Danio rerio: one gene and its partners. The protein of the gene in region 3 purifies or fractionates together with the protein of the main gene of each other region. This does not show direct contact. Links are inferred from orthologs where the notes say so. Each region holds a gene or a part of one and is shown on either strand. Other genes may lie near its edges. The genes, in order: anapc4, cdc27 and anapc7.

The links.
Region 1: the proteins of anapc7 (region 3) and anapc4 purify together in Homo sapiens (affinity purification with western blotting; 14 studies listed by BioGRID and IntAct, with this or other methods). This does not show direct contact. The link is inferred for Danio rerio from reciprocal best matches to the Homo sapiens genes ANAPC7 and ANAPC4.
Region 2: the proteins of anapc7 (region 3) and cdc27 purify together in Homo sapiens (affinity purification with western blotting; 23 studies listed by BioGRID and IntAct, with this or other methods). This does not show direct contact. The link is inferred for Danio rerio from reciprocal best matches to the Homo sapiens genes ANAPC7 and CDC27.

The regions. Positions count from the first base shown.
Region 1 is NC_133195.1:26,077,016-26,079,994, forward strand, and holds the end of anapc4 (anaphase-promoting complex subunit 4), read right to left. Parts: intron 2,715-2,979; coding exon 2,591-2,714; intron 1,002-2,590; coding exon 768-1,001; 3' UTR 622-767; downstream 1-621. UniProt on the Homo sapiens protein: Component of the anaphase promoting complex/cyclosome (APC/C), a cell cycle-regulated E3 ubiquitin ligase that controls progression through mitosis and the G1 phase of the cell cycle.
Region 2 is NC_133178.1:20,785,808-20,789,473, reverse strand, and holds part of cdc27 (cell division cycle protein 27 homolog), read right to left. Parts: coding exon 3,501-3,666; intron 3,380-3,500; coding exon 3,227-3,379; intron 3,131-3,226; coding exon 2,922-3,130; intron 2,773-2,921; coding exon 2,655-2,772; intron 2,527-2,654; coding exon 2,398-2,526; intron 1-2,397. UniProt on the Homo sapiens protein: Component of the anaphase promoting complex/cyclosome (APC/C), a cell cycle-regulated E3 ubiquitin ligase that controls progression through mitosis and the G1 phase of the cell cycle.
Region 3 is NC_133183.1:13,326,450-13,330,007, reverse strand, and holds part of anapc7 (anaphase-promoting complex subunit 7), read left to right. Parts: intron 1-434; coding exon 435-659; intron 660-3,363; coding exon 3,364-3,514; intron 3,515-3,558. UniProt on the Homo sapiens protein: Component of the anaphase promoting complex/cyclosome (APC/C), a cell cycle-regulated E3 ubiquitin ligase that controls progression through mitosis and the G1 phase of the cell cycle.

The DNA of each region.
Region 1 (2,979 bases), on a different chromosome or scaffold from region 3:
CCTCTTTTGATGATTGATGATCACAGAGCGCTGAACAGATCTTGCTGAACTGCCTTGTTGATATGATTATACGCGTTACTACGGAGACATGTTAATACACGGATGTCAATCAATTCAATGGCAGGGAAACCGAACTCCTATGTCAAGTTGTGGTGGGCCTCAAAATGGGAGGGATTTGGATCCTATTCGAACATCAGGACATTTTTATATGATGTATGAATGTATTTTCATAATTGTTTTAAAATACTCAAATAATGCATGTTGATGGATTCAACAAATGCACATATCATTGATTAACAATCTTGTATAGCTCATAGCAAAGTGATTGAGAAGTTAATTTAAAATCAGTTTCCCTGAATGGAAATGAATGGAAAATTTACCACTGGATAGTGCATGTTTCACTCAAAAAAGCAGTTTGATTTTGCATTTACATTGAGGTCACATGACTAACTCAAGGCTATTCACTTTATCTCTGTAAACATGGTATTGAAAACTGTTAGTTGTGGAATAAATAAATAATGGATGACTGTGCATAGTGCATTTCTACAATGCCTTTCCTTCATGCACGCTGAATGTTCATCCAACCAGAGAAAACACAGAAACATTTTTGCCAGATATGAGTTCAGGGTATTACCAATAAATTCATTTATTTACAAATGAAGATGTGAAATATTCATGTTTATCGCAATTTTTCTTAGCTATGTAAAAAACATGACCTGTTATAACAGAGGAGTCTATAGTTCCATCGTGTAGAACTTGTTTGATCTTCAAAGTGTATCTGATCCTGCAGTGTCATCCAAACTGTCTCTTGGCCCCTGACCCGACACCTGGGCATCCTCCACCCGTCCACCTTCAACAGCATCACTCTCATTAGTCTTTGTGTCCTCAATTCTGTCCTGGTCTGAGCTCATTTCCTGTGACTCATCAGCTCGCTCTTCCTCATCCTCTTCCTCCTCTGCGTCCATTTCAAACACACGTACATGCCTTAGATTGGCACTGAGCTGATGGAAGAGATCAGACAATAGATTTTTTTACCATTTACAGAATATGGAAGCAAGCCAAAATCTTTATGGTTTTATCTTTATTTGGTTGCTAATTATTTTTGAAATAATGGCAATTATTAAACAGTAATATAATAATTAATTATTTCTTTATATAACAATTAGTATATGCAAAAAACGAAAACGATAAAGATTTTTGTGTGCTATATATTGTTACAGAAATTGTTGCGATAAGCAGTATTACTGTCATTTTGAGATCATTTTATAACACTGATTATGCAATGATTATATAAAAGCATAATGCAAATAGCCATAAATACTAAATATTTATTCTTAAGGTTATTTATATCTATAAATTTGAAGTTAAAAAGATAAATATCCTTTTATATACTGTAAACCAGTGTTTCTCAGCTGGTGGGTCGCGGGAAGATTTTCAGTGGGTCACGGAGTGTGTGGTCAAAAAAAACAACAAAAGTAAAAATTTGTACTTTTTTTGCTTATACCGGACTTTTATTTTGTAATGTGTGTGCGACAGCCCTACCGTTTGACATATGAAATTTCATTTATTGTTGCAACAAATTTGCCGAATCGCAAGTATGACCCCGAATATGTAAAGTATGAATATATATATTGACGACAAAAAAGACTTAAAGCCTTAGTGTGATATGTAGTGAGGTGCTCTCATAAGAGAGCATGAAACCTTCTAAATTAAAACAACATTTAGAAACCAGAAAACATGTTTTGTTAACAGTTTATTATTAACTGTATTTGTCGTGTTTACTTTGTAATATTTCTATAATTTGATCCATTTTGTTAAAAGACAGCAATAAAATATTGTTTATTTGTAAGTCTTGGTGAATTTCTTATGATGTATCAGTCACTACTTGTTTATGTTAACAAATAAATACAAATTAATTATAATTCCTAAAATTGTATTATAGTTTCTAAAAATTTGGGTCGCGGCTTGATGACCATGTAAAAATGTGGGTCCCATAGCTAAACCAGTTGAGAACCCCTGCTGTAAACTATCAAATGTTCTATTAGGTAAATGTTCAATTATAAATGGTCACTGTTAAAATAGAAATATCATTGTGAAATGGCTTTAATGTTATTTGTGAATTTGTAAATATATATTGCAATGCCCCAAAATGTGGGGGTTTTTTTTCACTAAATGTAGGTAATCTCCAAGTATTGCAAGATAAGTCGATATATTGATTATTGTGACAGGTCTATTGAAAACAGATGTATATTACATTGAAATATACATTCTTCATGTTAAAAAGCTGTAATAATCATATTAATAATTAAAAATTATTATTTCTTAATTGATTAATAAATTATAACATTTATAAAAAACATTCATATGAAAATGTTTCAATTCATTAGAAAATCATTCATTAGTGTTTCATTGATTCTTTAAATATTCTTTATCTAAATATTTAAATTATTGAAATAAATTAATGACTGATTTTTTTTTTATTTAAAAATTAAAAGTAAGAATTTTCCTTGTTAAAAAAACTGTTGTTTATTTATATCTCAGATTTTACTTATAAAAAGTTAAAAAACATTCTGGAGTTGTATAATCTTACCACACAGGCCACTTTGCGGATCCCATTAACAGCCACAAACTGAGCGCTGATGTTGTCCATCTCTCTGCTCTGGTTTCCCCAGGCAACACCCTGCACTGGAATTCCCTCAGTTTGCTGCTCCAACCTGAAAGACCACAACAAAGACGACATCAAAAAAAGTACTATTTCAGGACAATAAATAGGACAAACCAAACATAACCATACTACAATCCAGCATTTTGCTGGATCTGCTTCTTAATATGCATCATAGTACTTGCATTTCTTTTAAGGGGTCCTTGATGATAATCTAAAATTTTAGCATTATCTAGTGTGTGATGTCTCTGTTTGCATATAAACCACATCTTCAAAGTTGCACTGCTCAAAGTTCAGTGCGAAAGGAGATATTTACT
Region 2 (3,666 bases), on a different chromosome or scaffold from region 3:
TCAAAGTGAAATTTTTTTTTCCAAAACATTTGTTTTTTTTCTCAATTTTCTTTTGAAGACAAGGGGGTCTTGAAAGTATTGGAGTTTGTGGCAACTGTTTAGCAACTGAGATCCCACAGTGTATCATGACTTAAAGCTGGTTAACTATTCATATAGACCAGTGATGCCCAAACTAGGATCTGCAAAAGTTGGCCCATGATAACCTTTGATTTGGCCCGCCATCCCAAATTAAGGGTTGGAGGAGGAATTGCCTTTAATAGAGATTGTCTTTTGTAATTTAATATAAGCTTTTGTTTGTTTTATTGTGATGCTACAAAAAAACAAGCTTGAATTAAATGTTTCAATTGAATGTTGTGAATGGGTCAGAGTATTTAAATGTGCACTGAAAGCCATGGTGTTGTAAATGGAATAGTTTCTTTTCATAGGGATACGTTAATTATAAAATATACAAAATTATAATGCAATAGTTAACCTCATATGATTATACATGATTAAGTAATTTCCATCTATAAGTATTATAAATATACATAAAAAAAAAAGAAAATTACCTATGGCAACTTTGTAATAGAGTTTGCTAGATTGACCTTCCGCCCACAGCTCTCAATGGACCCTTCGCTAAGCCCCCCCTCCTTAGTTACTGTTGCTACGCCTGTCAAGCTTTCGTGCCTGGCACAGCTTTTTCAATGTGTGCGCCGGTGTCAATCATTGCCAGGGGTATAATGTTATTTTTGGCGAACAGGTGAGATATCCGAGAAAGCCAGACAATAAAGGACTGCAGTATGCATTACAGGGGTATATTCACCACATAATAGGCAACCGATTAGAGAATAAATCAATTAAAATTGAAGCTAGCTTAGCCTAGCCACCTCATACGCTGACCATTTAACAGCTTAGCTCATGCTCAGCAGGAGAGGGGAAATCTAAAAATAATCTAATAATAACAAATTAAACCGTGATTTCTCTATTTTTAGCCAAAAAGCCTGATGGATTAATTGTTGTGCAATGAAATGGAGTTACTAACCGATGAAGAAACATGCATGACAGTGCTTTTACATAGTTCATTCATAGAAAGAACAGCCAGAAAGGGAAACTGATGGATTTGTGTCGAATATTAGCATCATTGACTCATAACAATAAGTTACCTATTACTGTCAGTATGTTTGTGTGCTCTTTATAAATGACTGAAAAACAGCAGCTGCGGGTAAAGTATATTGATCTGCTGCTCAGTTTGTGATCATATCTCGGTTTTGTTCTGCTAATTTGTCATTTCTAATATTCATAGCTTGAAACAGATGGAAATATGACGTTCAGTAAAGTTAGCAACAGATTCGCAGATTTGTATTTTCCGAATCAATAACTCTTGTCATTATGACTTATTCGCTATTATGACTAAGTTACTAACGTTATGGCGAAGGCTTAAACGGAGCATTACTCACAATAGAGCAAAAAAAAAAAAGGAATAAGAAAGCTGTGAAACATAACCAGCTTTGTGTTTTTGTAGGAAACACAGTTTAGTTCTGTTTAGGGTAAGAGGTTTGTGAGTTATTGCCGTCTGTCTGTCACTGAATGTGTCAGGAATATCAAAACAAAATCAACTTAGCTCTGCTCTTTTAGTGCCCCTCACACTGCTTGATCCACGCTAGTATTTCTCCTTTTGGATTTTAGGTTTTGAAAAGGGGAAAAATTCCACCGCCCAGTCCAAACTCTAAGGATACCGGGTATCAGATTTGCACAATCCATATGCACTCGCTCGAAAACTTGACAGAGCCCCTGCGCGTAGCTACAGTTGCTAAGCCACGATTGGTGGGTGGCAGTTATTGGGCAGGGCTTAGCGAAGGGTCAATTATGTTTGGTTTTGGCCATGCATAGGAAACGTTTGAGCACCCCTGATATTGACCCTATTCTTAAATGTGATAGTGCACTCGTTTTTGCGATTGTTTAAGAACTTCTGATTCAGTCGTCTATCGGAGAAATGACTAGGAATAATAAACGGCAAATAAACGGTCCTCTATAAGCAAGTATGTTCATGACAACACGGACGAAGCAGAATAGTAAAACAAAAAAAGATCAGTTTGCAACATCAAGCAGAAGAAAGAACGGTTTTTAATGTCACAAAAATGAATGGAAGTGAATGAGACCAGCAGTCTCCAGCCAAAAAGATTCAAACGGCTGTGCTCGCTCATACACGTAGAATAAGGTGAATAGATTGACGAGCAACAATCGTAAAGAACTATTAAACTGCATATGGTTCACTCTGCAGTAGCGGTTGCCTGTTGTTTTGCATGTTTAAGTATTAAGGGGCGGTGTATTTTTGCTTTGATGTCAGATTTCAAATATAACAGAGTTTCTCAGAAATCACTCACTGCACCTAACATTATAGTACAAGTAGAGCAGTACCTTGTACTTTTCATTGGCAAACAGAATTGAGGCCCTATGGAATTTGCATAGCGGATTCTTAGGGTCGATGCTAATGGCTCTGTTAAGGGTCTCCAGTGCATGGTCTGATTTCTTCAAAGCATGTTGAACCTGACAGAGTACATGAGAAACAATATGAAGATGCAGCACAGCAAAAATCCTATCAGAAATTTTAAACAGTGATTATCATGTTATGTTTTATGCATAACCAAAAAGTACATAAAGGCTGATTTACTCACCACTCCGATATGACAGAGTAGCACAGAGCTCTGAGGATTGATGCTAAAAGCTTTCTTGAAATGAATCTCGGCTAGATTAAACTTCTCCTGCTTATAATAAATCATTCCCAAGCCATACCTGTGGTAAGAGACAGAAAGATGAAGTCTTTTTGCTTCTGAAATAGCAGATGGTACTTATCTGTCAGACAACTGGATAAGTAAAATGATTGTGAGTGAACGACTTATTTAATGGTTTTTTTTTGGTGTCATGTAAAGTAACAAACATACCAGGCATTGTAGTGACGTTTATTGAGGCGTATAGCATTGCGGAAGCAACCCAGGGCTTTCTCCAGCTCCTCTGTGAGAACCAGTTCATGCCCTAATAGTGTATAAGCGTAAGCAAAGCTGGGGTCCACCTGGATGGCCCGTGTGAAGAACTTAATGGCGATGTCATGCTCCCGCTGTAAGCTGAAACAGTTACCAACTACACACCAGGGCTGTAAAGAGGTGGAAAAACAAAAAGATAAGCAGCTGATTTACTGAACTGAATAATATTCCAACTAATAATTGCATTACTGCCTTGATAAACTTACCTCAGGTGAGTTTTTGTCCATGTCAGTGAGGTCTTTAGATAGGGCAGAAAGTGCCACATCCTTTTGTAAATGCCAAAGTGTTGTTGAGTAGATGTCCATACCCTCTACTCGATAGCTCTCTATACGTCGGACTTCTGAAAAAATCCTCTCCGCCTAATTAAACAGACAAAAATATCTTCTGTGAGAACAAACAAAAACATTTTCCACTACTTGCCATTATAATTTGAATGCCTTTGGTAATTGATTTCACCTCATTTCTGCAACGCAGACTCACCTGCATGTATTCAGCCAGTTCAAAGTGTGCTCGCCCGATCTGACCCAGCACCCAGCCCGTGTTGTAATGGTGTGAAGGTAGCTGACTCAAGATGTTAATGGCCTCTCGGCAGTTATAAGAGCAGAGAGCAAGATATCCCCTCCCAATATCCCGCATCAGGGTCATC
Region 3 (3,558 bases):
TAGTATTTGTTTTTCCTATGGAAGTAAATAGTTACCAGTTTTCATCTTCAAACTATCTTCTTTTATATTTAACAGAAAGTATAAAAGTCACAAAGGTTTGAAATCACACGTGTGAGTAAATTTCAGATTTCTTGGGGTAAACTATCCCTTTAACACACACACACACACACACACACACACACACACACACACACACACACACACACACACACACACACACACACACACACACACACACACAAACCCCCTTCATCAGAAAACTGGACAGAAGAGATGGATCTTTTTGTGATTTGATTGATCACAACACATTTGAATATCAGCTGTAAACTGAAGGCTAAGCTGCATGTTTGAAGCTATAAATCGATTCTATTGTGTACTTTTCTTTTGAATGTGTGAACAACATTATTAGATTTTTCTTTTATTCCTGTTTCTAGGTCTGATCGACTGCTATCTAGCGTCTAATGGCATCCGTGAGGCGATGGGGATGGCCAACAATATTTATAAGACTCTGGGAGCAAACGCTCAGACTTTGACTATTCTGGCTACTGTGTGTCTGGAAGACCCCATGACCCAGGAGAAAGCCAAGACTCTGCTGGACAAAGCCCTCGCACAGCGGCCCGACTACATCAAAGCTGTGGTCAAGAAAGCAGAGCTGCTCAGTGAGTCTCAGATCTGCTTCTCTGTAGAGTAAATCAGAAACCGTGCACATCACGGTTATTATGGTTTTTAAATTCATTCATATTTTTTAGTTTTTTTCAGTTTTGAAAAAACTTTAACGATTATAATAATAATATTTGATGTATAAAGTTATTATATAATAAATGGTAATAGTAATCATATTTAATTAATTTTTTATGTAATTTAAAATTTATTATTATTTTATTTCTAATTATTTTTGTTTAATTATTAACATTTTGCGCATAATATATTATTTAGTTTTTTATATAATTATTATTTTTTGTTTTTGTTTTCAGTTCAATTTTTGGGTACTTTTTTATTTTAATAATAGTAATAATATTTGATGGATCCACTTATCATATTTTTATCAAATTATATTCATAATCATGTATTTATTATTTACTTTTGGATTTATTTTTCAGTTGATTATTTTTCTATTTCTTATTCATAACTATAAATTGATTATGTTCTGTTTAATTATTAACATTTTGCACACAATATATTATTTAGTTCTTTTTTTTCATTTAACTGTTTTTTTAATTTAGTTTTTATCAGTTTTGTAGTTTTCAGTGTAATTTTCTGATTTTTTAAGTTTAACAATAGTAATAATGTTTGGCATATCAACTTATCATATCTTGAATAAATGCATGATTATGAATACAATTTATTAATTTACTTTTTGATGTATTTTACAGTTGATTATTTTTTTATTTCTTATAACTATTAATTGATTCTTTTTCTGTTTGATTAATATTTTTATTTTATTGTTGTTATTAATAGCAGCAGTAGTAATATATTTAATTATTTGTATTATAATTTATTTAATAATGCGTTTTTTATGTTATTATCGTGAATATTATTTTAAAATTTGAATTGACTTTTTTGTTATTGTATATATTTCTTCTATTTCTTTTACATCTAAATTTTTTCTCAATTAAAAATTTATGTATTTTAATTTTTTTATAATTTAATCAAAATATTTTTAATAATTAACTATTGGTATTATTTTTAATTTTTTTAATAATTTGTCAATTCCTCATAGTTGTGATAATTTTCTGCATTATTTAATTAGTATTTATTTTTAGTTTTGTTAGTTTTATATATATATATATATATATATGTATATTAAGGGTGGAGCCGAACCCGAATACGGTATTCGGAAAGGCACGAATAGCGTGTTTTTACGAATACTTGATTCGAACAAATACTTGAAAAATTATTTGTATTCGGGAGCAAGAAAAACACTGTATCAAAAAGCTGCGTTTCCTCATGAGACCACAGTGCATGCCTGAGTGAGAGAGAGAGAGAGAGAGAGAGAGAGAGAGAGAGAGAGAGAGAGAGAGAGAGAGAGAGAGAGAGAGAGAGAAAGACACACGCTCAGTGCAAAACGCGCCAAAGCCCGAAACTGAAAGCGAGACGTGACTTTTAAGGGGCTGTTTCATATGGATTTATTAATCATTCTTACTGTTCAGTGATCGCAAACTGCCGTAGTTTATTAAAGACGCAAACCCCTTACTGCACGTCAGCTGCGCGCCTTCAGCAGACCTCCTCATTCCTGCAGCACGAGAGCTTTATGATTGTTTATGCGCGCCAAAAGTGGCGGATCTGTCCGGTTAAATATCTGACTGCGTGTCCCCGCATCCCTAAGGACTGTTTGGCGAAATATTTGACTGCATGTCACTGCATAACAAACGACTGAAACGATATAACTAGAGAAATCTCCACTGTGCCACTGTGCGTATGGCAAGCCGTCTTAGCATTTAAACCTTGTTCAGACTATCCATAAATATATTTAGAGATATCTCTAATTATATTTTGACTTGTCATAATTATAATTCAGATTGGAAATATCTGCAAATATATTATGACTGACTAGTCATATTCCTCCATGGACATTCATTGAAAAATATTTGCAGATATCTCTAAATAAACAAACAAACAAACTTTGTGTCTTTTTTTGTGGCTGGCAGATGATAATAGCAGGGCTGTATCTTTTAGTATTATATAGAATACTTTTGTTCTGCCAGATCTCCCAGGCAGGGTTTATTTAGATTTATTTAGTTAATTTTAGTTTTAGGAATTCTGTCCATTGGAAAAAAGTTCTTTCAGAAGAGGAACAGTTTTTTGAAGTATTATTTGTTTTTATTCTGTCTATTCAGTGTCCTTCAACAAGAACAGTGGTGGTGGGGTTCATAATATTCACAATGGTATTTTATGAGTTGTTGGTTTAACCATGGATGAGATAATGGCTTCTATGTTATTTTCTTTTCAATGACATTTCTTATCACATGTTCAAAAACAACAGCCAATATTGCATATCTATAATTTATATAATGAGTATAATTAAACAATACTTTCAATATAACGTAAATTAGTAGTGTAATAGAAAAAATATATTTTTTGCGCCATTTTGAATTTTACTCGAATACAAATACAAATACTTTTCCCCTCTCAACAAATACAAATACCGGCTGCTCCGCACATCCCTAATGTATATATATATATATATATATATATATATATATATATATATATATATATATATATATATATATATATATATATATATATATATATATATATATAGCATTATACTATTATTGTCTCTTTATACTTTATTATCTTTTTATGTAATATTGAATCATAATAAAGTATTTTTTAACATCAAATCAATTTCTCTCACAGGTCGAGAACAGAAGTATGAGGAAGGAATTGCTCTTCTGCGAAACACGTTAGCCAATCAGAGCGACTGTGTGCTGCACAGAATGCTGGGAGATTTTCTGGTTGCTGTTAATGACTATCAGGAAGCGATGGACCAGTACAGTATAGCACTGAGGTAAATGGCAGACTCTATGTCCAATGCACTTTTTTGAAGCAAGT